Notamacropus eugenii: one gene and its partner. The protein of the gene in region 2 interacts with the protein of the main gene of each other region in a pairwise test. Links are inferred from orthologs where the notes say so. Each region holds a gene or a part of one and is shown on either strand. Other genes may lie near its edges.

The links.
Region 1: the proteins of ERCC6L2 (region 2) and CYREN interact in binary tests that used the Homo sapiens proteins (3 or more experiments, as listed by UniProt). The two-hybrid records come from large-scale screens. The link is inferred for Notamacropus eugenii from reciprocal best matches to the Homo sapiens genes ERCC6L2 and CYREN.

What each region holds. Positions count from the first base shown.
Region 1 is NC_092874.1:114,679,802-114,694,988, reverse strand, and holds the start of CYREN (cell cycle regulator of non-homologous end joining), read right to left. Parts: upstream 6,782-15,187; 5' UTR 6,649-6,781; intron 6,192-6,648; exon of another isoform or gene 5,895-6,191; intron 5,077-5,894; 5' UTR 5,000-5,076; coding exon 4,857-4,999; intron 2,196-4,856; coding exon 2,120-2,195; intron 267-2,119; coding exon 30-266; 3' UTR 1-29. Other genes in the region: WDR91 (WD repeat-containing protein 91), read right to left, coding at 12,990-13,154, 13,983-14,180, 15,058-15,170. UniProt on the Homo sapiens protein: Cell-cycle-specific regulator of classical non-homologous end joining (NHEJ) of DNA double-strand break (DSB) repair, which can act both as an activator or inhibitor of NHEJ, depending on the cell cycle phase.
Region 2 is NC_092874.1:328,114,408-328,129,797, forward strand, and holds the start of ERCC6L2 (DNA excision repair protein ERCC-6-like 2), read right to left. Parts: upstream 6,938-15,390; 5' UTR 6,559-6,937; coding exon 6,531-6,558; exon of another isoform or gene 6,364-6,530; intron 3,072-6,363; coding exon 2,647-3,071; intron 1-2,646. UniProt on the Homo sapiens protein: Promotes double-strand break (DSB) end-joining and facilitates programmed recombination by controlling how DNA ends are joined in a spatially oriented manner during repair.

The DNA of each region.
Region 1 (15,187 bases), about 210 Mb from region 2:
CCAAAATGTTCTCTGAATTCTTCATCTTCTCAACTGAAAAATATTTCCCTCACATATTTTAATGCATCCTCATCCTCTTCTGAGTTCTTCTTGTGGTCGAAGGTTGAACACTCCTGTTTGCTTGAGAGACTTCTTGGAGGGGCATCATTCACCTCCTCTTCATTGCTACTGCTCTCAGAAGCCCAGGGGGACTCAGGTTGTGTGGTTTGGGCCTTATCAGTTCCCAGCAGCAATGTGTGCTCCAAAGGCTTTTCCTGTTTACGGCACTGAAGAGGGGGGAAAAAAGATAAGCACACTATTTTTTACTGACATCCTAGTTTGTTTATATAGGACAAAAAAATCCTGCAGGTCTAGGGTAATTTCTGGATCATGAGTCATTCCCTTCCCTTCACTATCCTCCATACCTACCCACATTCTCTCCCCTACCCCACCCCCACATTCCCCACCCCATATACACCTCTGGATAGTTCTGCAGAGAAGCCAGTACTAGAGAGAGGACAGAAGAGGGCTGGGGGAAAGAGTTTGCTCAGGAAGTGAAGCTTCTAGCCCCAAACAGAAGGAAAAGGGTAAAGTTGGAAGAAATAATTTCATTAGGTAGGTCTCTTCTTGAATGAGCAGAGTCAAAGAACTTCAAAGGAACTCAAGGAGGGAAGGAACAGCAGCTAAGCACTCATTCCAGACCATTAAGAAATCACACACACACAATAGCAGAATCCTTCTTCCACTCCTTTCTATCTCCCTACACAAAAATAGCACAACGATGACAAAGTCAATGGCTAGGCCACACAGACATCCATATTCCCTAGCCCATGTTTGTATGAGGACACAAAAACACAGTGGGCAGAAGAAAGTGTGGGTGAGGAGTCAGCAAGATGAATGTGGTGACAGGCTGCATGAAGCAATAGAGAGAGAATACTGGGCTAGAGTCAGGAAGAACATGATTCAGGAATCCCATCTGACACTAGCTGTCTATGGGCAAGAAATACCTCTATGAGGCTGAGTTTTAGAATCTTGTGAGAAATACAGATGACACACTCTCTACCTCACAGGGGTGCAGCTGGGACCAAATCACTGAATGCCAGAAAAACCCTCTGCAAACCTTTATAGTGCTAAGAAACTGTCAGCTGTCATCATCATCATCACCAGTATTACATGTGGGAAGTTGGGGGAGAGAAGTCTGACTGATTGAGAATATATTAAATAAATGTCAAAGACTAAGAAAGCTTGAAAGGACTTATAGGTTACTCACAGGTCCAGAGGTTCTTAACCTGGTGTCTCTGAACCTGTTTTTAAAAATATTTTAATAACTGTATTTTGACATAACTAGTTTCATTTGCAATCCTATGAATTTTATCTTATGTATTTAAAAACCTATTTCTGAGAAGTCCATAGGCTTCATCAGGCTGCCAAAGGGGTCCTTGCTACAAAAAAGTTGAAGAATCTCTGCTCTAAACCCACTTCCTCATTTTGTAAATAAGGAACTGAGGCCCAAAGAGGTGAGTAACTTGCCATTCACCCAGCTTGTATCCTTTCACCCCTCCCAGAGCTGTGAAATCCTTTCCCTTAAGAGCTGCTTCAGAGCAGTATCCACAGCACCAGCTGGGCAGATCCCACTAGGAAAATCAACACTACAAACATCACCCCACTCCTCCACAAGAGGAAAAAAAAAATTACTAAGGGAGCTGCATGATCAAAAACCATTTGGAGACCACGACATTAGACCAGGAAGCTAGGTGGCACACTGGCTAGAATGCTGGGCCTGGAGTCAGGAAGATATGAGTTTCAATCCAATCTCAGATGCCTCCTAGCTTTGTGCCTCTGGGAAAGTCATTTGGCTTCTGTCTGCCAGTTTCTCATAACAGCACCTACTTCCCAAGGTTGTTGTGAAGATGAAATAAAGACAGCATTGGTAAAGTGCTTACTCAACACAGTGCCTGGCACATAATGGGTGTTTATAAATGTTCTTTACCCCCATCCCCAACTAGATCATATGGAGGTAATCAGAAATGCTATTATCTATTTTTTATTAACATTAAACATTAAAGAACTCAAACCTACTCTCAGGAGTTTTCTGTTCACAAAGACACGAATTGGGATCCACTAGAATAAAAGATCTTACCTCAACTAGGATACCCAAAGCAACATCCACCAATTCGGCTTCATTCATGAAGTATACAGTTCGTATAGAGGGAAGACTGAAAGATAAAGAAACAAAGGCAAAGATGGATGCAAAGTGAGTCCCAGATGGACACACAAACAGGAAACTGGAGTTGAGGATTGTGTATCCCCCAGCCCTGTCTGCCATGAATGAGACTATACACATCCTTTAGATCTGAATAGCTTGCTCCACAAAGGATTTGAAGCTTAGGGCTCTCAGATGAAGGAATTTAAGCCCTTGCCTTTCCTCATACATTCAATTGATACAATTAAGACACATATACACACAACAGTGATATTAAGTTCCTTAAGCAATAAAAAATAACACAATTAACCATGTGTCCTGGATGACATCTGGTTTGTCATCAGTGTTCACTGCATTTTCTAATGAGAGTTGATTCTCTAAAAAGCACTAAGGGGAAGTCACCATATCTCATTTACCTTTACATCTTCACCAGGTCACAGTTTTCCTACACAGTATATGCTAATGAAATATTTTCTACAGTGAATGAGGATTGGTAGAAGCCTGGGGAAGAGGGATAAGAGGGAGAGGGAGAAAGAGGGAGAAAGAGGACAAAGAGAGAGAGACAGAGAGACAGAGAGACAGAGAGATATGGGTATATGTGTGTGAGGAGAGTTGAGAGAGAGCTCTAAGCATTTAAAGTGTAGCCAGATGGAAAAGGGATGTGACTTATTCAGTACAGCCCCAGAGGGTAGAACTGGGAAGGATGGATGGGGAACACAAAGAGACAAACACAGCCTCAACAGGAAAATCTTCCTAACAATTAGAACTGTTCACAAGTGGAATGGGAAGCAGTGGGTTCCCTTTCAATCTATCCATAAGCATTTATTAAGGCCTGTACTAGGAGCTGTACTAGGCAGTAGGGATGCAAAGGAAGGCAAAAACAGCCCTTGCCCTCAAGGAGCTTACTTTTTTAAAAATAATTTTTATTTTTGACAAATTTGGCATTTGACAAACACCAACAAATGTAAGCATTTCCATATACAAAGGACAGAAAAAAGAGATTTGCACTTGCACGAATCTTCATTATAAATAGTTTGCTCTTTTTTAAAAGTCCGTAATAAATTCAAGACATCAATTTCAAGTCTACCTTGCTGGTCTGGATGTCCTTCTGAATTTCCTTTTGTTCTCTAAGATGTTTACATTCTAATGGGGGAGAAAACATGCAGTCCTTCACTGTGAGTCTTCGAGAAAAGGCTGAAGACCTGCTGGCATGTTGTAGTGGGAAATGTTTTGCGGGGTATAGAGCTTTGGGCTATAGATGTCTCTAAAATTCTGTAATGCTGTGAAGGAACCAGAACTCTCCTACTTATGAGGTTTTTCTGAATAGGAATATAGGTGTCTCAGGAATGAATGAACACTCTGGAGGTTTCTTCCAACCTAAGAATGTTTCCCTTCTAGACAGAGGAGTATTGATAGATGAAGAAAGAGGAAGATCCCAAAGAACTGGAAGCTAAGAGGGTGCCCATCAACTGGGGAATGGCTGAACAAACTATGGTACAAAAATGTAACAGAATATTATTGTGCCATGAGAAATTACAAAAGGACAGTTTCAGAGAAATCTCAGAAAACTTGTATGAATTTCAAGTAAAGTGAGAACCAGGAGAAAGATTTACACAATAACAAAACTGATAAATAAATAACTTTAAAAACCCTAAAAACTGAGATCAGTGCAATGACTGTCCATGATTCCAGAAACAATGGAAGAATGCTGCCTACCTTTTGACTGAGGGGTAATGGACTCAGGGTACAGACTAAAACACAGATTGTCTGAACAATGCCAGTTAGCGAATTTGATTTGCTTGTCTATGCAGGTTACAAGGATTTTCTTTTTCTTTTTTCCAATGGTAGCAAAGGAGAAAAATAGATTTTTCTTAACTGAACAAAAAATAAATGTTTCAAAGAGTAGGGGAAAAATCTTGGAAGGGCCAGTGGATCAGGGAAACAGATCATGGAAAGTCATTCTCTAGTTTCTGAGCACATTACTGTCCACAGAACCTAGCTTCTTAACCACAAAGTCCCCCAGTTCTTTTATCCACTACCCCTCTGAGAAGATGAAAACTGATCCTGTAGCATTTCCTTTAGAATTTAGCTAGTCTGTAATAGGTTAAGTTTAGAGATCCAGATCTCTCACTAATCACTATTCTGTTTTTGCTTCAAGGAATACTGCTAACCTTGGGGGATGTGGGAATCAGGCCTACTATCTTTATACCACCATGCTACCCTTCAAGAATGTCTGATTTGCTGTCCAAGGAAGTGTGGGTCCGTATGTTTGACCTTGCAGGCGAACTCAAACAATGAACTCTTCTTAGTCTCAGGAGGGAAGAGGAGGGATTCATTACAAATTTCCAGTCAATTATGTTGTTCCCCAAGCCTCAGCTATGTAACAATCATGTTGCCCTCAACCCCATGATGTCACCTATCTTGTTCTGTTCTTTCTTCTGTACTTCCCAAACCTACGAAAGAAAAGTTTTCCTTTTACTTTGGATTTCCACCTGGAAACTGAGGCAGACACTGACCTACCTTATTCTCAGGTTTCATGCCCTGTGAATAAAATGTTATCTTGCTCAGAGAAATATGTCTCAGTTTACCCTTCTGTTACATTTCATTCTCAACTAAAAGGACCCTAGACCACAAAGGTTTTGCTGCTATGCAGCCGCAATTTGCAAAAACTCACTTTGATGATGCATGTGCTGACTGCACTGTGCTTTTTCTCCTCTTAGTTGGCCTCCACATTGGCACTGATTTTCTCACAGCCACCTGGGCTGTCATCCATGGAGGAAGGTCCCTCTTTTTACTCTCACACTGTGCATTTGCCATCTCTCCAGACTCCCTGGCAGAGTGCTCAGGACCCAGGTAAGTGTCGCAGATAAATGTATTGCCCACTGATGGCCTCCCTGTTTCAAAACAGCAAAAACGAACCACCTGTCAGAGTAACAAAAGCCAAATCTGTCTGTATTCTTGGCACAATGCCTGACCCATAAAATGACTGCTTGTGATCTTGACTGACAATGCTCCCAAGTAAAATAAGCACCATCAGAGATATAGCAAAGTGATGAGGGAGCTCAAACGAGATCTTCTTTGGCCCACTGTACGAAGGACAACTTCATGGAAAAGATTCCATTTGGGCTTATCTGGCTATTAGTCCCCTATCTGTGTGGAGGCCTTGGGTGTAAGATTCAGTGATCCCATCTGTTGACTGGGACTTGGTTCCATCAATCATTTCCTCTTTTGTATCTTCTTTCTCTCTCTCTTCTGGTTCCTTCTGGTTTACCTAAACACATCAGATTTCTGTCTTTTTTTTTTTTTAAGGCTCTAGGCACTAGATCTAGCCAAACTGGTCTACTGACTAGTCTCAGAACATAACATTCTTGCCTCCACTCCTAGGTTCACACTTTTCTTCCTAAAAAGACTTTATCGTGTCCTTTTATCTATTAGAGTTTATGGCTCTACTATACCAGTGGCTCACGGACAAGGACCATGTCTTTAAATTCTCGGTCCACCCTCCCAAACTAGCCCGGGGAATTGTACATGTTCACTGAATTCAATCTCTTCTCCCAGATCTTTTAAGAGCAAGACCCAGTCCTACCTCCTTAGTGAAATCCTAGCCTCCACGGCCCTAGAAAAATGCCCTCAACACACAATGAAAGTTTGCTCAGCTGAATCTTAACCTCCACCTCCCAACTCCCTCGCTGTGCCTGTCTGTGCCTAGGACCTTCTCACTCTTCATATCCATCTCCTGGAAGTTTCCCTGGCTTCCTTCAAGACCTGGTTCAGCTCCTCCGTTCTGCAGGCCTCTTCCAATGCCTGGTCCCTTGACACCCTGGGCCAACAACTCCCCGACAACTTCGATCTGAGATTGCCTTCCCCATGCCCGGAAGGTAAGGGCAGCTGGCTGGCACAGAGGGAGTGCTGGGCCAGGGGTCCGGAAGACTGGCCTTCAATGCTGCCCCAGGCACTTCCTAGCTGTGTGGCCCTGGCCAAGTCACTTATCCACATTTGCCTCAGTTTACGCTGCAGAAGGAGCTGAGAAACCCCCAAATGGGGCCAGTTAGTCAGCCCTAGGCCTACTGAGTTAAACAGGGCAGGGTCTCGCCGGTGCTCCGCCCACAGCGGGGGCCTGCTCGGTGCCGGCTGCCTCGGAGGGCGGCACCTCGGGGGCCCACCCTCCGCTCCTAGGGTCCGGCCCGAGCCCGCGGCACCGGACCGCGGGCCTTCCCACGAAGCTTGCACTGCCCTCCCACGGTCCCACCGACGATCGGGGGCCTCGCTCGGGGCGGTCACGTGGGCCGGGAGGCGCTAAGTCCGCAGGAGGCGGCTTCGCCCCATGCCCTCTGTGGCAGGAGCCCGGGAAGGCCCGGGAGCCGTCTGGCCCAGCACCCCGCTCCCGGTGTGGGGGTCTCCTGTGCGTCCCGAGGAGGGCCAGGGCTCCCGCCCGGGCCCGAACCAGCACAAGCGGCGGCACCTACTCGGCCTTCTCCTGTCCCCGACGCCGGGGCAGGCTCAGCCTGGGCCCCGCTCCGACACCTTCCCACGCTGCTCGGGCTTGGGACCCCGCCCGGATCCGCACTTTCTCCACCGCCCGGCTCTAGGTCGCGGCTCCGCTCCGAGGAGCGAGCGGCCGCTGCTTCCGGCCGCTGAGGACGGGGCGCCCCCTGCCGGCGGACACGAGGCCGTGCGGCTTCCGCGGACTCCTCCCCCCACCCTCGGCGTCGGCTTCCGGGAGCCACGCCCACTTCCCCCTCCGGGGAGTTCCTCCCAGGTGAAGGGGCGGGCCTTCCGCCTCACTGGACTCTGCGAGGCCTGGAGGCGCCGTTCAGTCTAAAGCCGGAGACTCCTTGGGCCCCCAAGCGTACGTTTCTTTTGGCTGTCACTCCCCTCAGGAGCCTTCGGTCCTTCGGTGCTTTGCCAAACGTTGCCCACCGGTTGAAGATCCAAACTCGTTGGCGCGGCATTCGAGGCCTCCCGAGGTCCGGCCCTAGCTTAGCTCTGCGGGACTTGACGAGGCCTCCATTCACTTTCCCCTTTACTCGTGCCTCACCCACCCCCGCTCTGCTCGGACTTCACCAAAACACCCTCTAGTCCTGGCAGCCAAAGCTGTCCAAAGTCCTCCACACCACTTACTCCTCGCACCGGCTGGGGGGGGGGGGGGGGGGCTGGGGCCGGAGTCAGGAGCACCGTGTGACCCTGAGCCAGTCACGTGCTTGCCTTCCTCTCCTCGTCTGTAAAAGCAGTTGGGGAAGGAAATGGCAACCGACTCCAGGACGTGCCCAGAAAACCCCAAATGGGGTCAGTCTGACAGCACTGGAAACGACTGAGCTGAGCTACAAGTCCCCTTACATGACACTGGAGAAATACGGGCTTGTACTGCGCCTATCCGGATAAATCATCTTTCCTAAGGGTTGGCTGCCACCGTATTCATTTTTACATCCTTCCTACCACTACCAGCATCCAGTAACTGAGCATCGTAGGTATTCAGGCAACGCTGAATATCAGAATTCAGGGGTTTCTTATTTCTTGACTCAAGAAAGATTTTACAAAACAGAAGCAAAAACCATAGGAAATCTTAGCAATACAAACACAAAATGCTCTACAAAAATCTAAAGCATTTCAGCCAATAGTGCCACACTTAAAACTTACAAATTATACTGTTTTCTATTCTCTATGCTATAGAGAAATCAGGTGGAAAAAATGTCCAAATCACCAGTTGTCCTGATCTCTGTCTTGCCACTGGACCCAGAAGGCTCCACAGAGAATGAGGCTGGTGACTGCACAGCCCTCTCTCACTTAAATCCAGTTCACTTGCAAGTCCACAGCATCACCTTCCTGATGTCATGGTCCTCTCCAACAACGAAAGACAAACAGCAATTTCACTAAACTTTATTAATTATTAATTTCATCATAAACTTATCTCATAATTTATTTTTTCCTGATGTTCCTTCTAAAACGAGGGAGGACTGGAATACCCCAATCTCCTGCCTCTGCCTTGGGGTAAAATGAATAGCCCACCAAATTCCATGATTATCATTAGCATGACAGGTATGGTGTTGCTGTGGGAAGGCAGCTTCAGTGCCATTAAACTGTGTTTGTATCTTGGATTCCCCAACCTCTTCTTTTTAAGTTCCAGGATTGGAAGGAGCCAGGCATATTAATTGCTCTTCAAAGGGCTTGAGACATTTGAGCTGCAAAAGCCAATGGCCTTACTTCCTGGCAGCTCCTGCCCTGAAGCTTATATTTTAAGCTTCATAGGGCAAACCACTGCACAAATTTTGGATTTTTCACTGGGTTGAAGTATACTTTGGCCAGAGAAACACAGTTCCAAAGGCTTCACCGAAGCAACTATGGTATGAAATAAGGGGAAGGAGTGAGGGATAAGTGTTAGAAAGGGCCTTCACAAATATGGTCTCATTTTATCTTCACAGCAACCCTGCGAGGTAGATGCTGTTAATCCATATTTTACAGTTGAGAAAACTAAGGCAGAGGTTAAGTGATTCACCCAGGGTCACAAAGCTAGTAAGACTCCAAGGTCAAATTTGAACTCAGGGCATCCTGACTCCAGGACACCTAGCTGCCTCAGAGGGAGCTGCTTTCTAATCCCCTAAAATAGAATAGCACCCCAAGGAACGGAAGCAAGTTTTAACATCTGTGAATATAGGTAAGACTAACTCTGTGTTTGCCAAACAAAACATTTTTGTTTCTTACTGAACCAGAACACAAAACCCCTCAGGATTAAACTTCTTAGGCAATGCAAAGAATTTCAATACACGTACCTGGAAGCTGCCATCCTTCAGTGCCCTGTGAAGCCACTGGTTATCAGTCACATAATTCAATAAATTCAATTTGTTTATTAAGATTTTATTAAGTGCAAGGCACTGAGATACAAATGTGAAAAACAATGCAGCCCTTGCTCACAAGGAGCTTACACATTTAAAAAAAGGGAAGTGGGAAGGGAGATAAGGGACTAGGGACTGTAATACAAGGCAGAATTGTGAAGTGCAAAGAGTCCCTCTCTCACCATAAAACAAAGGGGGAGGGGGGGCACAAGATATCTGAAGGAAAGCAGTGGGGGAATCCAAGAAGGAAGACTTCATGAGGCAGATAAGAGATTGGTTCTTGAAGAGGTAGAGACAGGAGAGTGAAGAACAAGAATGGAAAATGAGCCCAGTTCAGCAGCCTGGAAAAGGTGGCTCTTAACATCAGATTGTAGAGAGTCTTCAAAACCAGTATTAAGGAACATAAGTAGGTAATGGGAAGTCACAAAGGAGTTAGGACGGAGCTGCAAGCCCCATTAAGACGTGAACCAGCAGTGTGCAGTGTAGATTATAGAACAGGAAGAAGGTGATAGATGAGAGTCTGAACCAGGATGCTCTCACAGTAGGTAGGATTGGAGGGGTTAACCCAAAGGGGAGTGTAGAATGGAAATACACGACTGTTCTTCTCAAGATGGCACATCCACTTGACTGGATGCCTGAAGGATCTGTGGTTTATCAGTGAAACACCAATACACATTACAACCTGTCAATAACTTGGTAGGGGTTAATAAGTGGCCTGAGACTTGAGAGTTAGGTAGCTCAACCTAGATCAAACAGGTAATCTTCTTCAAAGGCGAGATTTCCTACATCTTCATGACTCCAATGCTAACACTCTACCCAATATGCCATGTTTTCTTAGCTACAGATAAACTAAGGCAAATGGGATTTTTTTTTTCAAATGGGAGGAGGAAGATTCAAGAGAGACTATCAAGGAGAAATGAAAAGAAGTTGATGAGTAGTTTCGATGAGGGAGGTTAAGAAGGATCAAGAGTAGTACCTAAGTTTTAAGACAAGGAGGGTGATGGGGGGCCTTGACAGAAACAGTTACCACTTCAACAAAGGGGAAGGGAAAAAAAAATTATCAAAAGAAAATATCTTCCCTTGATTTTCCTACACTTGGGGTGGGGGGAAGAATCAGAATATGTATGATGTGAATGTGTCCTTCAAGAAGAAGGCAAGAGAATGTATTCTCAAGAGGGAGGTGGTCAATAGTCAACATCCCACTAATATCCAGGAAATGGAATACGCCTCTCCACTTCACATTCAAGCTTGCTCAAATGCAGGTTCAGTATTTAAATTCTTTCACTTTTCCCTCCTCCCCAAGCAGGACAAAGCCCTAGATTTGTTCTCCATTTCCCTGTAGCCATAAGAGCATGGATAACTAAGAGGCAATGAAACCTGAGGCACCGCCCAGCCCCAGAACTGAGTTAGAACCAGCCCAACCTCTGGCAGTGGAGAGATAGGGTGGATGTGTATATGCCTTGTCAGCCTCAATAGCCGTCACCTCCCAGTTGATCCCTTTAAGGAGCCAATTCAATGGCAATACCAGGTAGAGAGTGGAAAGAGCTCTAGACTTGGGGTCAAGAAGTTGAGTTCCAATTCAGCCTCAGACATTCACCAGCTGTGTGACCCTGGGCTAAGTTACTAAGTTACCTCTCTTGGTCCATTTCCTCATCTGTAAAATGGAGAGAACAATTGTACCTACCCTCAGAGACTTTGTAAGAACTGAATGAGAACACATGTAAAGTGCTTTGCAAACTTTAATGTTTTAACATTTTAACTTTAACATTTAACTATTATCATTATTATTTCACCAGTCATCTATACAAATTCCGGACTTGCTGACTTCACTCCTCACTGCAATAGCTGTGACAACAGTACCATTGGGCTATTTCCCCTGGCCCACAGGCCAGGGAAGAGGAGGAGGGAACTGTTTTCTACTTTTAGCATATGAAGGGACTATAAGCCTGACTAAGGAACGTGGAATTCAAAGACACAAATCAGACTTGCTTAATGACTGTTAGTTGCTGAACTAGTTAGTTGTAGTACCAGCACCTGGGCAACAAGAAACCTGGCTTCTAGTCTGAGCTCTGCCACCGAATTTCACCATCTGGACAAATCACCATCTTCCTCTATTCCTTTAACTGCAAATGGGTGAAGACAGTACTCTTCTATCTGCACACAAGAAATGGGGGTTAGGAGAATCAAAATGCAAGTCCTGGTGCTACTGATCCTCATGAGCTAGCAGGTATAAGACAACCACCAACAGGAATACATGGAATCATGGGGCTGAGTGGAAACAGTCCTGGGAAAACAGGTACCATGGTCTGCTACAGATAGGCAGCTACAAGCCAAAGGTCTTAGGTCCGCCTTAGATCTGCTATACATCTCTTTCCCACAGGAGAGGAAACTACATCCCCTCACAAAGTTTTGTGAGCAGAAAAATAAACCTTTCATCTAGGATAGTCCAAAGTATAAGTGGCATTAGAGAACATATATATAGACAGGTGCACATGTGGAATGGAGAGCAAGTGAGTAATTATAGATTGTGAGTTATATAAACAGCCTCACCTCTATAATAAACCAACACCTCAAACCTCTTTAGTCTGACAGATACTATGGAAAGTTCACCGTTTATGTAACACACATATTTAAAGATCTGAGATTTCATCAGTGTGTGAAATCCCCCACTCATACAGACTGCCACCAATCTAAAAGCTAGTAGATAAGTTACTGAGGCTCAGAGTGACTTGCCCAGGGTCACACAGATAGTAAACATCAGAGGCAGGACTAAACTACCATCCTGCTGTTCAAACCCAGCACTATCCACTATACACCACACTACCATGTTTCGTCTTAATGCTTCTATCTGGGGCAGTAAGGAGACGGTTAAGCTCCCAAGACAATACTTCTGCTTTCTGAATAATGTAAAGGGATCACAACCAAGGGTCACTCACTGAAGGAGCTTCTTTTCCATTCCACTTCTATAGAAAGACACCTCAGTGAGAACAATATTCTTTTAAGAAAGGGAGGAGAAAAGAAATGTATAAATATACAGAAAGTTCTTGCTTTATATAAATTCACATTATGCAAATTTGACTTTATATAAAAAATTCTGAAAGAAATCCACATCCCAGAAAACACTTGTGTTAACTGTACAGTACTATGTTCCTTCTCTCTTGCTCTCTCTCTGCTCCTGCTCCTTGGCATCACGCCCCCCACACACACCAAGAAACAACCAATACCCCAATCCTCCAAGCAAAAGGAGAACAGACACGCAGACCACCACTGCCACACCTGGCACCAAGATAGAAGATCTTTGCCATGCTCCAAGCACCCACGTGTCCCCGGCCCTGACCTGGATAGCCATGTATCTGTTTCTGGCTCCCATCCTCTCCTGTCTGTGTTCTTGTCCAGACCCCACCTGTCTGCTTCCCAAGTGTTCCTCCTCTTGGTTCCAGCCAGGACCTCACCTAGCTGGCCTTGACCCCTGCATGTTCCTCCCTGTTCTCACTTCTCTGTCTCTGGCCCCATGAGTCCTTCAACTGTGTGCTGGCCGCCTCCCTCCACAGGTGCTGGGGGGGAGGTCCTTCCTGCTCCTCTCCCTCCCTTCCCTGTGTCCATGGCAAATCTGCATTATGGAAAAATCGCTTTAAGTAGATTTTTGCGGAAGGGTTCATTTACTTAAAAGCAAGAACTGTCTATACACAAAATACTGTCAAGGTTCACAGGAATCAGAGCAAAAGTCACCAGAAATCTGTCTTTTTGAGCCACTTGCAATAGTCCAGTGGGAGCTTGGGGCAACATTAGAGTCTGTGCGTATCCTGGACCAATAGTTTTCTGGCCTCCTGCTCCACATGTTCCCCAGCTAGCTGACAATTTATTGTAATAAACCTGCCAGTCTCTCTCTATCTCCTCTTTCCCAGTCCGTGATCTCAACCTCATGCTAATACTGATTCCATAAGCATTCTATAATGCTTCCCTGGTTCAGTGTCCCATCAGAATTTCTGAGCCAGCAGGGTTGCCAACTTGATCTTGCCATCCATGGAAGCAGTAAGGCAAGTGCCACAGTCCATGGCTGTGCACCAGTCTACAGTGACCACTGGGGCTCTGTGACCCCCGAGGCTCAGGCAGCTCTCCAAGACCTTCTCATCACTGCTCAACTGCAAAGGAAGACAAGAAAAAAGAGACAAATAAGAGATCTCTGGAATGGACTGCCACCGGAAATGAAGAAACCCTTAGGGAAAAGTTGGACAGCTCATTTTAAATTGCCAAACCTCATTTAGATTGGGAAGAGGCATACTTAACCTGAGTAAGGATAAGCATGCCTGGATCCCCGAGTACTTTGGTTTGGCTGACTAGATTAGATATATACTGTCACCTCCCTCCCTCCAACCATAAAGGATTACTGCTTATAGCTTAAATGGATTATTTTACAAAAATTGGAAGTGTATCATGCTTTTTGGTAACAATTCAGAAAAAAGTCATTCCAGCATTTGTCACTTCACCAGGAGATTTCTATCCTGGTAAAAGATTTGCTACGTGTTTATAAGCAGTAGGGCCCATGTTGTTAAGGAGCCTATACCAAGTTGTTTACTTTCCAACATTCTTTGTCCAACTACTTTCATTTTCTCCTTATTAACATTCCTTGGCCCAGGGTCAGGCAGCTGCTAATTAGTGATCGACAGCAGCCCAAAGTTCTTTCCATCACATGACACTGTCTCAACTTTGCAGGAACACACTCTCTCTCTTTCTCACAATCCCAGTCAAATCAAAAGATATGGGCAGAATGACTTCTATACAAAGAAGAGCTCCACAAGTACCAAGCATTGAGGCAGGAAGCAAAACTCAAACGCATACTAGATGAGGCAGAGATCCAGATAAAGGGTACCCATCCACCCACAAGATCACAACATGGGAGATTTAGAGCTGAAAGGGACTCTGAGGACTTCAAGAGAAATACTCAGGAATTACTGCTTCAACCATGTTACCTTATAGATGATGCCCCCTGTAGCAGAACAAGTTAGCATGTAATTTCCTTCAGAATCAAAAGCAAAGAGACGACCCCGTGGAATCTGGACTTGCTTGTATCCACTGTAACCTGATAACACAAAGGGGCCTGTGGCATCCATGGGGAGGGAATATTCAGACACTTTCTGGCCACTCTTGTGGATGTTCCACTGAATAAACTAGAATTACAAAAGAACAAGAAGAAAGCTGCTAATTAAAAAGTAGCTGTAAAATGAAGCAGAACCCCAGAAAACAATCTAAAAGATGACTATGACAAAAAGAACGGAAAGAACAAAACAACCCAAACTTAATAGTGTCAGAGTATCATGACTAAGCTTGATCCTAAAGAAGAGATATGAGAAAGCACCTCCCCTGATTCCGCTAGATATTGGGGAAAATGGGTATGGGTCACTGCACATGTCAGATATTTTCAACTACATTGGTTAGTTTTACTGATAGGACTCTCTGGGAAGGAACAGGATAAAGAGGAGAAGGATATAGTGAGAAATACAGATAACATAAAAAACAAAAAAATTTCACTTAAAGCTATTAAAATAAAGAGCATCTGGCACCAGGAGCACAGAGATCATCAGTCACCAGAAGTACCTCTGTCGTTATTCCAACTTAATGGGAAGCCCAATTCACTAAGTCCATCTCCTTTCTAAAAACTTGGCCCTCAGAAGCAAGATATGGCTTATTAAAAAAATGTTTCAGGGACTTTGGCAGCTTATGGGAGGGAAACAATAGTAGAAAGAGTGACTTGAAACCCTTCACAGAACTATCACATTACACACTAACCTACAGCCTCTCGATCCCTACTACCCACTCCCATCCTTGCCACCTACAGTGATATGGGTCACTCCCTCCTCAGGAGGAGGGAAGCAAATGCTAATAACCCTTAAAATCCAACAGAACCCATGCCAGTGAGGAGGGAAAACTCCTAATGCTAAATAAGTGTCCAGAGCCATATCATCACCTCCAATACAGCTCAAGACAAACTGGTTTAATCTAAGGAGTATTTCAAATCCCCACCCACCTACCTCACACCCAACCTACCTTCCCATCCTCTCCAATGCTGTACACAGTGTTCTCATCGTAGCTAAATTCCACAGAATAGACCTCCCCACTATGGGCTTTCCAGCTCATGGCACACTCATGCTGCTGCATATCTGAGAAAACAAATTAC
Region 2 (15,390 bases):
TCAGGTACAATGCTTTTTACAAATATGATCTCATTTACTCTTCAAAGCAATCCTGCAAGGTAGGTGCTATCATTATTCCCATTTTACAGTCAAGGAAACTAAGGTAAAGAGAAATGAAGTAACTTGCCTAAGGCCCCACAGCTAAAAGTGTCTGAACCTGCACTGGAGCTCAGGGTCCCCATTTCCAGGCCCAGTACTCACCTACTAGGCCACCAGAAGAGATAAGGAACATTCAACTTCCCTCAAAAGATATGGATAGAGGGACTACAAGGACAAATTATGTCTCCTATATGTCTGATAAAATTTTTGTATCATTAGAGTTGGGTTTTTTTTCAGTTTTTGCCTAATTATCTTTCTTTGGGGTAAGAGAGGGTTTAATGGGGGTAGAAGGAATGACCAATATAAAGACAAAAGACATCAATAAAACATCTTTCTTTCTTTGTTTTTTTTTTTTTTTAAGAAATACAGCGAAACTAAAATAACTGGAGATACTACTTACAGATAAGTCATGTCAATATAATTAAAATGATGATTATTACCTAAATTAACATTCGGTACTATACTAATCAAATTATCAAGGGGACACTATTTAGACCAGTCAGAATAATAACAAATTCATATGGAAGAACAAAAGATCTAGAATTCCTATGAAATTCTTGAGAAAAATGGTAAGAAATAGCATTATAAGAGATGAGACTATATCATAAATCAGTAGTCATAACACTATTCAATAGAGGCTAGAAAACAGAAAAAAAACATTAGTGGTACATAACTGAATAAGGAACTGAAAAAAGTATCCCAGTGTTTGACAAAACCAAGAGCATAAAATACTGTGAGGAGTTCTTTTTTGCCACAAGCTAACAGGAAAACTGAAAAGCAATCTGGTAGCTATTAGGTTAAGATCTTACATCATGTAACACAATAAGCTCAGATGGATGCATGACCCAAATTTTAAAAAGGTCATACCATAACAAAGTCTGAACAAACCAGATCAGGTACCTTCAGAACCAAGGTTAAGGGGAGAATCACCGGAAAGAGACAGAGGAGACCATTAATCAGTCAACAAGCACGGATTAAACTGTCACTATGCACTGTGTATGGCACTGGGGAAACAGACAAAAATGAAATTGTTCCTGACTGCAAGAAGTTTACAGTCTATAGAAAAGGGAAAGGCTTAATTAGGGAAACCAATTAGAAGACCAATTCAATAGTGCAGACAAGCAGTGATGAGGGCCTGAACCAGGGTGGTAAACTTATAATTGGAGAAAAAAGACAACACAGGTGGGAGAGATGTTGTATCAGAAGAACTGAAAGACCAATCACGACCTCCTCCCACTTTTTGTTCTGATTATAAAATGAGGTATTTGCTTTCAGACGCTACCAAAGGGCTAATTTCTTTTGTTTGACAACAATTACAAAGAAGAGTTGGAAGGGATGAGGGGTAGCACTGAGAAGTGACCCTGATGTTTAAAAAAAAGCATCAATAAGACATTTAAAGAGAAAAAATAGCATCCAAAGAAAGCCACAATATGGTGAGGGGCCTCCAAAGTACTTCATGTAAATTCAGTTAAAGGAACCGGAAAAGAAAAGCATGATGTATTCAAAGAAAGCCTAGGATTTAGCTCTCTGGCTCTTGTCATTTTATTTACTTCTCAGGACCTCACTTTCCTCATTTGCAAAATGAGGCGGTTGGACGAGATGGCCTCTAAGGTCTCTCTCTGTTCTAAATCTATGATATTCTCTTAAAATATCTGAAGGATTATAACACAGAAGAGGGATTAGACTTGCTCAGTTTGCCCCCCAAAAGAATAAACAAGAAGCAATGGGTGGAAACTACAAACGCAAATTTTGGTTCATTTTAAGAAAATACTTTTCAACAATTATCTGTGCAAGCTTAGACAAGTGGCTTACTTCCTGGATCTGTTTGCCACTTGTAAAATGAAGAGGTTAAACAGATGACCCCTGATGTCCCTTTCAGCTCTCAATCTATCATGTTATAAACTAAAATCATCCAAATACAGAATAGACTGCATCAAAAGATAGTATCAGAAGATGTTAACTGAGGGCTGGATGAGCACTTGTTAGCAAAGTTGTAAGGGGGATTCTGATCAGGAGTCAGTGGATCAAATGTTTTACGAGGTCCTTTGCATCTGAGATTCTGTTACTAACTGGAGTTTTAAAACTCAGCTAGTCCTCAGTGTTCTGCTAAATTGAAAATGTTAATATGGAATTGGAAAGAACAATGAAGAGTTAGGAGAAAGAAGGGAGAAAAAAAAAAACAAGGGAAAGATAATAAGCCGTAAGCCAGATAAATATTTCTTTAATAACTAACAAGGGAATGCAAGATACAAGAAAGTTCAAATTCTAAGCAACCTATTCAATAGACCTTGGGAAAATAATCTAACCTTAGTTTAATACTTCAAAGAATGGGTAAGAACATTGTCCCTCCTTAGGGTAACTCTATGGATATAAAATGACTTCACACTTCATTCACTTATTAATTCAACAAACATTTATTAAGAAACTTATGTGAAAGTCATGATACAAGTAACTTCTGTGTCTGCCTTTGCCACAGTGATACTGCAAGTAACAAGCTAGATCAGAACATTACTATTTTAACTACTGCAGGAACAAAAGAATAAATACCTGTACTGTTTTTCCAAGTCCCATGTCATCACCAAGAATACATCCTCTTCCCAGGGAATAGTGTCCATACAGAAACTGGGCTCCTTCCCTCTGGTAGTCACGCAAATATCTATTAATTGTATATGGAATACAGTCACCATCTTCAGATAGCTTAAAAGTCACAGCAGGTGATGGAAGTTTTCGGTCTGGGAAATAAGGCTTTTCCAAGTCAACATCATCAAACAAAAAACTTCTGCAAGAACTTTTACCAGATGTTGTTTTATGGAGTTTTTTTAAAGGTACTTTCTCTTCCAGCGAACCTGAAAATAACACAAGTGCAAATGACTTTCCATTTTCATCTGTCATGATGGATTTCACTGTTGCTTCACGAAGCTTTCCACTGTCTGTGACAGGGACGAGACATCTTTCTCCAATGTGCCACATATCTAAAAAAAATAAATAAAGGAAAAAAGTTTTTAAATTGTTATAATAAAACAGACATACCTATTTCCATGTGGATACTCAGTAACATCTCACTTATCTGACACTGTGGAGCAGTCTTTGCAGCCCAGCAGGAAAAGTGATAGACTGAGAGTAAGTATAAGACCAGTATACTCCTGGTCTCATACTATGCACCTGTAACAAGAGACATTGGATTGGATGGCTTCTAAGGTCCTTTCTAGCTCTAACGTGTATGATTCTACAAGTTAAATTTTAGCTCAACTCCTCAAGCACTAGCTTCTTCAAGACAAGACCATGCATTGAGAATAAACCAAAAAAACCATAGCAGCCTAGAGGAATTTCAGACATAGTGGATGCTGACTGATGTGGAGGTACTCATAAAGACCTCCACATTTTAACACCACAATGCTAACCACAATGATATGCAAATCAGAATATAGTCCCATCCCCTCCTACCCAAAAGAGCAGAAACTTGTAGTCAGAACTGGTGTAAATATAAGAAAAATGTGTAAAGACTTGCTATAGGGCAATGTAACAAGTAAGAGAATCTTCTGAAGGTCAGGGGTAATAAGCGTATTAGGTGCAGTCTATGATGCAATTAGACAATAAGTTGTATAATAACCAAAGGATAAGAAACTAACTAAACTAACATACTAGAAAGTTGGCTATTTGCACAAGGATGGAAATAGTAAACATGGAATTAATCTTGAAATTCAGTGAATAGAAGCTTCATCTTCAAACCCCTAGCCGACCATCTCCTCCTTTCCTCCTCTGAAAAACTTGCCATTACTGTACTGTCACCTGTCACTTTTCCACTGCTTTCTCAACTGCTAGCTTATTTTTTAAACACAACTATCTTGCTACCTGGATTCAGGAAGACTGACCCCCAGGAAACCTAACCATGCTCTCTGTCTTGCTGACAAGTTATCTTGTCACCTGGACTGGAAAGAGAAGCAGCAGCCAGGCCTAGCCAGCTTGATTTTTCAGCAATAAAATGAACAGTAACATTTAAGAAAGAGTTTCAATAATTAAGTTTAAAATAAAAGTTTTCTGGTTAGGTTTGAACTGATATGCTCTCTGCCAAAAAGGTTACTACAAAAATCAGTCAACAAACATTTATTAAATGCTTTCTATGTGCTAGGCACTAAGAAAGAATATAAACAAAAGATGAAACAAACTCTACTCTCAAGGAGCTTATGTTCTACCGAGAGAAAAAAAAAGTGTGTGTATAAAAAATGCAAAAAAATTCAGAATAAATACAAGGTAGTTAGGGAGGGCACTTGCAGCAGCTGGAATCAGGAAAAGCTTTGTGAAGAAGATATGGAAGTGCCTTCCAGGTATGGCAATGGCCAGTACAAATGCAGACAGAAGAGAGAGGGAGTGTCCTATGGATGACACACAGAGCAGGTTAGTTTGGTTGGAGAACAGAGCACTAGAAAGAGAAAATATATAAGCATTATATAAGCATATAAGTTAGTAAGATACTAACTACATAATGGCCAAAGCTAAGTCAACTAGATTTAACAAACACCTACTATATGCCAGAAACTGTGATAAGCATAAGCACTTACGGATTTTAAAAAAAGGCAAAAGAACAGCCCCTGCTGTCAAAGAATTCACAGTCTAATGAAGGAAACAAGTAAATAAATATGTGCAAACTAGATATATAGAAAATAAATTGGAGGCAGTCTCAAAGGGAAGGCACAAAGATTAAAGAAAACTTGGAAAAGTTTCTTGCAGAAAGCAAGACTTTAGCCAAGACTTGAAGTTAGCCAGGGAAACTAGGAGACATAGGTGAGGAGGGAGAGAATTCAGAGAATTGGGAGATGGGAATGCTGTGTGTGAGGAACAGTAAAGGCCAACAGTGTCACTCGATCACAGAGTACATGGAATAGAAGGAATAAAATATGAGATGACTGAAAAGGTAGGAAGGAATATGGTTATGAAGATCTTTAAAAGCTAAACAGGGGATTTTATATTTAATCCTAAAGGCAATAGGGAGCCAATGAAGTCTGTTGAGTAAGAATCTGAGCTTTTTTTTTTTTTGGCATATAAATCACGTATAACATGACTCATAATTCTGGCGCAATCCCTTGTAATATGGTTTCCAATCATATCATTCAACTGAAATTGCTCTCCTAACATTTATTAATTTCTGTTCAATGGCCTTTTTTCAGTTTTCACCCTTTATGACCTCCACACCACTTTAGAATGCTACCTACCACTCCAACAAAGACACACACTCTCTCCCCTAGGTTTTAGGCACACTGTCCTTTTCTCTGACTGATCTTTCCCATTTTTCTATCCCTTAACTGTGGGTACATCTGGGGCTCTATGCCAGCCCCTCATTTTTTCTCTTTCCAGTCTTCCTCATGTTGTTCTCAGTTTCCACCAGTTCCAACATCCTCTTTAAAAAGCTCATTCCCAAATCTCTCTCTCTCTCTCTCTCTCTCTCTCTCTCTCTCTCTCTCTCTCTCTCTCTCTCTCTCTCTCTCTCTCTCTCTATATATATATATATATATATATATATATATACACAAACATATATGTCCAGCTGTCTCCTCTTTCCTGTGTGTCAGTCCTACATCACTGACTGCTGGACATTTCTATTTGGACATCTCAAAGTCAACGTGTCAAAAACTGAACTCATCTTTTCCCTTCAATTCATCACTCTTCCTAACATTCCAATCCAATAAGAATTATTAGGTACCTTCTATGTGAAAGACCCTCTGCCATGTCAATCAGATAACAGGCACTTATTATGAACACGGGTACGTACTGATGGTAAACTGTTCAATTTGAAAATGCTACAAGCCAAGACCAAATTGGAGGGAGCGGTGGTGCATGATTTTCTGTTTGCAGATGACTGTGCACGCAATGTAGCCTCTGAAGCTGAGATGCAACAAAGTATCATTCTCTGCGGCCTTTGCTAACGTGCCAGACATAGCCAGATGCTGGGGATACACACAAAACTTCCCTATCCTCAAGAAGCTTACCGTCTATGAAAGGAATCCAAAATATAAACAAAAAACTATATACACGTTGAACTGGGGGGAAGGAGAGAGCACTAGGGAGATCAGGCAAGCCTTACAGTAGAAAGTGGCACATAAGTGAAAGCCGGGGTTCTACACCATTTTTGTGTCACTGACTCCGGACCTCTTTTCACACTTGTTTTTAAATGCACTGTAATATACATAGTAATCCAAAGGACACCAATTATCTATCTATATCTTTATATACATATTATGTACGTATTAAAACAAAAAGTTCACACACCCCAAGTTAAAAACTCCTGGACTCAAATTTGAAGGAAACCAAGAGTTGTAAGAGGCAAAGCTGAAGTCAAATGTTCCGGGGAGGAGAAATCCAGAGGAAAACAAAAAGGAGAATGATGTGACGGAATAAACGTAAGTATACGAGTCCTTTCAGGTGAGACCCTGTACCTTCTGCTGCTTCTCCCCGGGGATCCATGACTCGGAAGCAAGGGGAGCCATCTGGCGAGGGGGACAGCGACCTGTCCCAGGCACTTAGGGGCCCGCCGGGCCCGGTCCTACCTGAGGCTTAAGGCTACAGTTATTACGCAGGACGCTCAGGGCTCAGAATTCCCCCGGGAAGCCAGCCCAGCGAAGGGGGGAGCACGTGCGGGGGCGGGGAGGTGAAGGGAAGAGGTAGAACAAACTTCCGGGTGGGCGGCGAGCTTCACTACCCACCCGACTGCCCCGCTGGAGCTCGACACAGGTGGGGAAATGAGGGTGGGGAAAAAGGGGCGGGGACCTGCTTTCTGAGCAGCTCTTCTGCCTGCCCCGCCCTCACGGCCTCCACTTAGCGCTTCATTCCCTCCTGTTCTAGGAAAATCTCGCGAGAGCGCGTGCGCAAACGGTCAGGCCCGATCCCTCTCGAAACCCTTTTCCGGGTCCCCCCCCCCCCACCTCAGTAGTGATACCGCGAGATCTTGGTAACAACTCGCGGGACTTGAGAAACCTCCCAACTGGTGGGTCTCTTTTTTCAGGTTCAGGGACCAGACGCTAGTGTCACCGGGCGGCCGCGGAAAGTGGAAACCAAGTCTGCGCCACATGTTTGAGACATGAGTAAAATGGAGCGTCGTGGGAGAGGAGAGGAGAGGCTCTCTGTGCCCCTGGCAGCCCCAGACTGCCCAGAAGTGCTGATGGATGACCGTATGAGGTCGTAGCTAAGCGCCTGCACACCTGAAAGCTTTATGAAGGATGGATGCTCCCCGCAGACGCAAGGATGAAATCCCTGGTTCGGTCTAAAGTAAAAGAAAAGACTGGAGAACCCGGAAAATATGTGCACATGTAGACGTGTATAAAGTGATGCAAAGCCGTAAGAAAAATGTAACGTACGTAAAATGGTAAAAAAATAAAAAATCAGGTTAAACGCAGCGGACGTTGCTGGGTCAGTCCTAACCTTCCATTTGACTGGTCAGCCAATAAACTACATGATGGGGTGAGGTTGCGAGTACCGTCAGTCACCGGGATCTGCTACTTTAAGATGTTTTGTGGGTGTACCGGATACTTGGTTCAGTCACGATTTGGGGGGAGAGTGTATGATGAAACAAAATTTATCAATTAAAAAAAGCTTTGCCCAGCATTTTGCTTAGTGCCCAGTCTTAGATTGACCCAGTAGGGGCAGCTGGGTGGTGCAGTGGATAGAGCACCAGTGCAGGAGTCAGGAGGACTTCAGTTCAAATCTCACCTCAGACGCTGGACACTCACTAGCTGTGTGATCTTGGGCAAGTCACTTAACCCCAATTGCCTCATCCTGGGTCATCTCCAGTCATCCTGATGAATAGCTGGTCACTGGATTCAGATAGCTCTGGAGGAGAAGTGGGGCTGATGACCTGCACAGCCCTCCCTCACTTAAAACAAAGTCAAGTGCAAGTCATGTCAGCATGTCTCTGATGGCATGGTCTCCTTCCACAAGGAAGGAGGAACACACTCAGTTTGATCCAGTGACAGGAGACTGGCCCCTAGAGTATCCAAAACTTAGAAGAGGGAATAAAGGTGAGAAGTCAATACATAAAAGAACTATGAACTGATGAGTGGAATTCTCTCCTCCCCTACAGATCACAAATCTTATTAAATTATCCACAAGAGTGGCCAAAAAACTATTCACCTTGCAGATGACCTAGGATCTTTCCGATATTAACCAGTCTGGTCTTCAGTCCAACACTCCACCACTGGCCCTGCTCAAATCCTTTCCACCTTACTAAGACTGCCTGATCTTGTGTTCCACCTGGCTAAGAGGAGAAGAATCTTTTAAAGAATCTCGAACTCTAAATGGGAATGAGGCATCAGAGAAGTGTTTTGCAACAGTTGTCTCCAATAAATAAGAGAAAAACTCTCCTTCTTTGCCTGTTTACTCAATTTAAAACTCAGTGAAAAATCCATCTAGGACTCATTGTCAAGTTAATTTTGCCAACGGCACAAAATCATAAACATTGATCCGTGCACTATAAAATTTGGTACCAAAGATAAGAGAATCTGTCCTACCTACAATACATATGCCAGCGAGTGTATGCACATACACACACACACACACACACACACACACGCACCCCTTTTAGTACAGATTAAAGCTGGCTAAATTCTTTAGGGAGCACAAAGGAAACCAAAAATGTATGAGTCTCTGTAGGTGAGTCTATAATCTATTTTTATAATTTATGTCAAGTAGCAGTGTATAATTCAAAGTAAAGGAGCCTGGCAAAGGCTGTATTGAAGTTTTTCCTAAGTCCATTCTCCAGCTAATGACAGAAAACTACAGTGCTGATTTTTCTCCCTTCTCTGACAGATACCTGTCACTGGGTCAAACTGAGTGTGTTCATCCTTCCTTGGGGAAGGAGACCATGCCATCAGAGACATGCTGACATGCTAAAAAATAAAAAAAAAATGTATGTTTATGCAATGCAACTTGCTACCTGCATTAAAATTTAGTTCCACATTTTGTCATCCTTTTGTATGGGATGAAGCTTTTAAAGCACTTTTTAAGGCATCCTTTCTAAAGGTAGAATATAGGTAGACTATAAATTTTCCTTTATAAATTATTTTTGTTACTTGTTCTTTTCACCATTTACATCTTATTTAGTCTGTCTACATGCCTAATAAAACCCACCGAAAAGTTCAAAAGTCAGTCAAATTGATTTTTTTATTTGCTGTACTCTGCCAAAAAACTAGTTTGTTTCAATGATTGACCAGTTTTGGCACTGTATAGCCATAGCTTTAATTTTTTCACTTCTTCCAGATGTCTTCTATTTATATTGCCCTTATTTTACCAGTTACTTTACAGAGTGAGCTGAAATTTTCACAAACTATTCATTAACTTTGACAGAAGCAAAGGAGATGGAGATAAAAAGATATCACAATAGTAGATAAAGGAGAATTGTATATCCTGCAAATCTGATAACATTTGTAATTTTATTTTACAAAAAGAATTGAAAGGTACATTTTTTGATTAGAGTTGCAAAACTGTTATAAGTCTGACATAATACTTCTCACAAAACTAAAATGCTGTTTTATGACACTAATAAGCAGCACTTATGTAGTGCTTTAAAAGTCTACATTCTCTCTTTTGATCTACTTGGTCCTCATTTTACATAGGAGGAAACTGAGGCTCGTAGTCTTGCCCATGGTCACACAGCTAATGTCAAAGGTGGAATTCAAAACAATATTTCAGCAATTACAAATGAATCACTCCTGCTACTGCACGTCTGATTGGCTCTTGCTAGCACTATATGGGGAGGGGGGGAAAATGGCATTATTCAACCTACTCAAAACCAGAGAATTTCAGTGTTTTAAGCGACCTCAGAGATAACTGTTCCATTCTATAACCTGAACAAAAATTTTCTCTTCAAACTTTCTGACAGGTCAAACCTGACTTGAAGACTTCAAATGATGGGGAGCCCATCCTGAAGAGTTCTCCCAAAGAGAACTTATTATCTTGTGATTACCATCTGGTTGGTTGGTTGTTGTCCTTCATCTTTGAAGAGGGCCAAAATGACATCGCCATTGTAAAGTGAAATTTCAGTGTGTCCGACTGTGGCTGATCAGACCAATATGAGCTCAGAGTGCTCTACCACAGGTTGGGCACAGATAGTCCATGTGAATATTTGGGGTGAGTATCTCAAATTTACACATCCAGCATTTACTTTGTGCTATCTCAATTCTGCTTTGCTCAAAGAGCACAGCACCTTTTCTTATGTGGGCACACCATGCTGAGCGGTCCTGTGCCAGTGTCTCCTATGTCCCACAATCAAATCCAAAGTTCTTGAGAGAGACCTTGAGAGTGTCCTTGTATTGTTTCTTTTAGCCGCCATGTGATTACCTGCCCCATGAAAGTTCTCCATAAAATAGTCTTTTTGGCAAACATACATTTAGCATTCGAACAACGTGGCCAGCCCATCAGAGTTGCACTCTCTGAAGCATAGTTTGAATATTTGGCAGTTCAGCTCGAGCAAGGACTTAAGTGTCTGGTACCTTATCCTGCCAGGTGATCCTCAGAATCTTCCTAAGACAATTCAAATGGAAGTGAATCAGTTTCCTGGCACAGTGCTGATAGGCTGTCCAAGTTTCCCAGGCACACAACAATGAGGTCAACACAACAGCTCTGTAGACCTTCAATTTGGTAGTCAGTCTAATACCTCTTCTCCCCCAAACTTTTCTTCGGAGCCTCTTAAACACTGAGCTAGCTCTGGCAATGTGTGCATCAACCTCATTGTCAATGTGTACATCCCTGGAAAGTACCCTACTATCTATGCAATCAGAAAAGCCACCTTCTTCTTACCCAATACCTATCTGAGCTACTAACCCTGTGAATTCATTTCTCCCTAGGTTTTATTGTCTAAGATCCCCTGTCTGTTAAAGTAAATCCATGTTGCTCAGTCATTTCAGTCGTGTCCAACTCTTCGTGACCCCATTTGGAGTTTTCTTGGCAAAGATACTGGAGTGGTTTGCCATTTCCTTTTCCAGCTTATTTTACAGATGAGGAAAGTGAGGCAAATAGCATTAAGTGACTTGCCCAGGATCACATAGCTAGTAAGAGGCTAAAGCCAGATTTGGATTGGTGAAAATGAGTCTTCCTGATTCCAAGGCTCCTAGTCTAACCACTTCAATACTTAACTGCAAATTGCTGATCTCAAAAGCAAATATCTCACAGGAAGCATGTGCCATCATTTAACTATGTTCTTTGCCCAGTGAAAAGTAGTGAAAACCTTTTCAAACTAGGAATCTTACCTGCAGGTAGGCATAAATTTACATTTATAATCCAAAAAATTAACCTCTCCTGGCCAAGAAAGTAAAGATCACCTTCCATACCCTTAAGGACAACAGGTTCTAGGTAACTAGGCTGATAGCTATGATAATATTATAAAACAATCATGGAAACTTCACCAAAAATTTATCAAGGTTCATATCACCCCAATATAATTTGTGTGAAAAAAAACCCATTTGATACCTTGAGAGAAGAAATTCTCTTCCCAGTAGTAAATCTATTTTTAAAAATTAAGATAAAAGATTGCTGAATTGGCACATGGAAACAAAACTAAAAACTGTCCAAATTGCTAAGCCTCATTCATCCAGACAATTTTTTGGCTGATCTGAGCTAACACTTCCCTAGCTATTTCTGGGAACGTTGCCTTTATCTTTACTTCAGACTCCCCCTTTTAAATATTCAAAGCTGACCCATTAATCCTTCCGTGTACCTCAACGTTTGCATCAAATAAAAATAAAAACTTCTCTTGGTCTGTTCCCTCATCTGTAAAGTGAGAGGGTCGGACTATATGGACAATCTTTAATTATTTATGGAATTTGAATTCAAATGTTCTTGGATTATTTGGGGAAGGAAGCCTTTATAAACTATCTTTTATCACCTGGTGGCTTCTGACTCTCCCTTAGGAAGGTGGCCATGATCAAAGTCAGGTCCCAAACATATACAACTGTAAGGAGAGTTGTATTTTTAATTTAAAGTTTCTCAGTTTTAGACTCTTAGAGGTCAATAACTTGTACATTTGCAGGTTCATTGCTCTCCTACTTCGCCTCCTGAAGGGGAATTCATTTTTGTTTTTGTATCCCCAGAATCTAACATAGTGCTTAGTACATAAAAAGCACTTAATAAATGGCTTTTTTTTTAGTAGATTGGTTTAGTTTACTTCATTTAATGCCTGTTATGACACTAAGCGCAAAGAAACAATTTCAAAATACTACTCAGAGTATTCCAGAGTTGAAACAGACATAGGAAGCACCCTAGTCCAAAACATACCTTGAACCACAGTACCAGCTTACCTGAGAAATGATCATACAAACTTGACTTGAAGGTCCTCCAGAGAAAATACTGTACATTCATTACCTCCTAAGGTGGCCTATTCTAGTTTTATATAGCTCTAATTACATGAAATTTCTTGTTACTAATCATTTTTATCCACATAATTTTTATCATTTCATCCTACCCTTATCAGTATTGTCATGGTGATCCTTCCTGGAGCTGGGAATATCCAGAGCCTAATAAGAGTATCATTCCTCCAGGTCTCATTTTATACTGTAACAGTCCCCGTAGAGCAATTCCCTTGACCTTCATTTACACTTAAGGGCTAGTTTCTTAGATGGTAGAGGTGTTACTTCTCCTTTTAGCATCCTTGGGGTAATCCTGAAAAGCTAGAGTGTCTGACTGTTTGGCTAGTTGGTTTTTGTTGTTTTGGTTTTTTAGTACTGTGGCTTATGAGTCCCCATCAGTATGTTTTTCATTGACTGCCAATGAGATGACCAGCAGACATGAATTAGCTCTCAGAAAAGGGATTGACTAAAAAAAGTAGGGCAAGAATAGTTGGTACAAAACATTTCCTGAAAGTCTTTCATAAGTGGAGATAAATCCACAGGAATGGGGTAACTAACGAAACCACAATGACAGTGAGAACATATATAATAGTACATGTAGCACATAATGATGGCAGAATGCCATTAGGGACCAAAGTATAAAATCATAAATTTTGATTAAGAAAAGTACTTTCTTGAGTCCATAACAGGCATTTTATTCTGGTAAAAGGGGGTCATGGTCTTTGAAGCTACTTTATTCCTTAAGTGGCTATTTTTCCTGTATTTTTATGTTTTGTATTTTAAATGTGCTGATCACATACACAAAGCTGAGAAGGACAGCTAACATACAGGTTCTACACAGATATTGATGGGGCAGAATTTGAATCAAATTGAATATGGATAAATATAAAGTCCTACCTTTGGGTTTAAAAAATGAGTTTCATACATACAAGATGGAGGAGGAATAGCTAGAATACAATTCATCTGAAAGATATCTGAATGTTTTAGTAGACCACAAGTTTAATCTGAAACAACAGTATAATATGGCACCAAAGAAAGAGAATTAAATCTTAGAGTACATTAAGAGAGGAGTTGTATCTAACCAGATGGAGTTGACAGTTCTGCTGGATTCAGTCCTGGTCAGACCATATCAAGAGTATTGTGTTCAGTTCTGGATATTGGGATACTAATTTAGGAAGGACGTTAATTAACTACATGGTGCCCAGAGGAAAAGCTTCTTGAATTTATGTCTTATGAACGTTGATGAAAGAACCTTGAGTAAAGAAGAAACGTGGTCTCTTTTGGCACTGATGGCAGGGCTAGGGAAAATGGATGAAAATCTGAAAGAGGTAGATTTTAGACTTAATGTAAGGAAAAACTTCTAAAGAGTTAAAGCTATGCAGAAGTGGAATGGATTACCTGTAGAGGTTCTGGAGGACTTTCAATACTAGAGACTTTAAATAAAAGATTTCAAGAACATTCACGGGGATGTGAATTTATCCCTTTTTAAATATACAGAAGACAGAGAAGATTGACAAAAGTGGGGAGATTGAACTCATTCTAGGACATGCCTGGATATAAAATAAAACTATAGACAATAATACCAGTTGGCAATAAAAGTGTCAGTCTTAGAAAAAATAATTCCTCCTAACCTTCCAGAGCGTCTCATCTTACATTCCAGGTTCATTTGAAAAAAAAGACCTTTTCTAGATTGGTACTTAAAGGATAAATTGTGCCAACAAAAATTCAATTTGCTCATCAGCATTTGCTCTTTTGGGGAGTGAACCATTGCAGGAAGATGATACTTAAAAATTGCTGCTTCCTCTGGACTAATTTCAAATCCATGTGAAGGAAGAAATGAAAGAAAAAGACAAACCTAGGGAAAGGCAGGAGAATGATAAATGGAATGGAATAGCAGAATAAATAGAGAAAATGAAGAAAAGAGTAGTTCAACAATCAGATGCAAAATTAAACAAAATTAGTTTTAGAATAGAGGCTTCATTTTAAGCCTCTCTTTTAGATTTCTGGCATGTGGCATAGCAAATAGGGAAAAATAACAACTATTTTTTGTACATTCTGTAGCTATGAGTATATCTTTTCCAAAGAGTGTTACATATGATATCTGAATACTTTGCTAAAAACTCTTGTTAAATTTGCAATATATTTCATGGGCCACAGAATCACAGCACCACAGCAGAATCAGAGGTAAACAGAACTAGGAGAACAAAAAAAATTACACATGAACAACGCTGTAAAGAAAACAACTTTGAAAAAAATGAGAATTCTGATCAATGCAATGAACAACCCTGTTTGCAAAAGATACATGATGAATTTTTTTCCATTCACCATTTTTCCATTCCATTATCCATTCACTTCTTGATAGAGAGTTGATATACTTAAGGACATATGTTTTTGGACATGACCATTATGTAGATTCATTATATTTAACCTAAACCTAACTCTAATTCCTCATCAATGCATCATATACGTGATAAGCATTTTTAAGCACCCATTATGAAACAAAGTACCATACTAATGTAGAGGATAAAAAGACAAAATGCCTGGCACATAGTAGACACTTAATAAATGTTTCCTGACTGGCTATCATGTGCCAAGCATTGTGCTAGACATCTTAGGTTAAATTGCAAAATAGGAATCAGGGGCAGTTAGGTGGCTCAGTGAATAGAGCACTGACCCTGGAGTCAGGAGGACCTGAATTCAAATCTGACCTTAGACACTTGACATTTACTACTAGCTGTGTGACCTTGGGCCAGTCACTTAACCTCAAATGCCTTGCCTTCTCCCCTCAAAAAGAAAATATGAATCAATCCCTACTCGTAAATAGCTTGGATTATAACAAGAGAGACAAGTATATATGTAAGTATGTATCTGTCCATGTGCATAACCCACAAAAGGGAATAAATATAAAGTAGTTAAATATCAGATAGTTTAGGAAGGAGGGCACTAGCAAGCTGTCACAAAC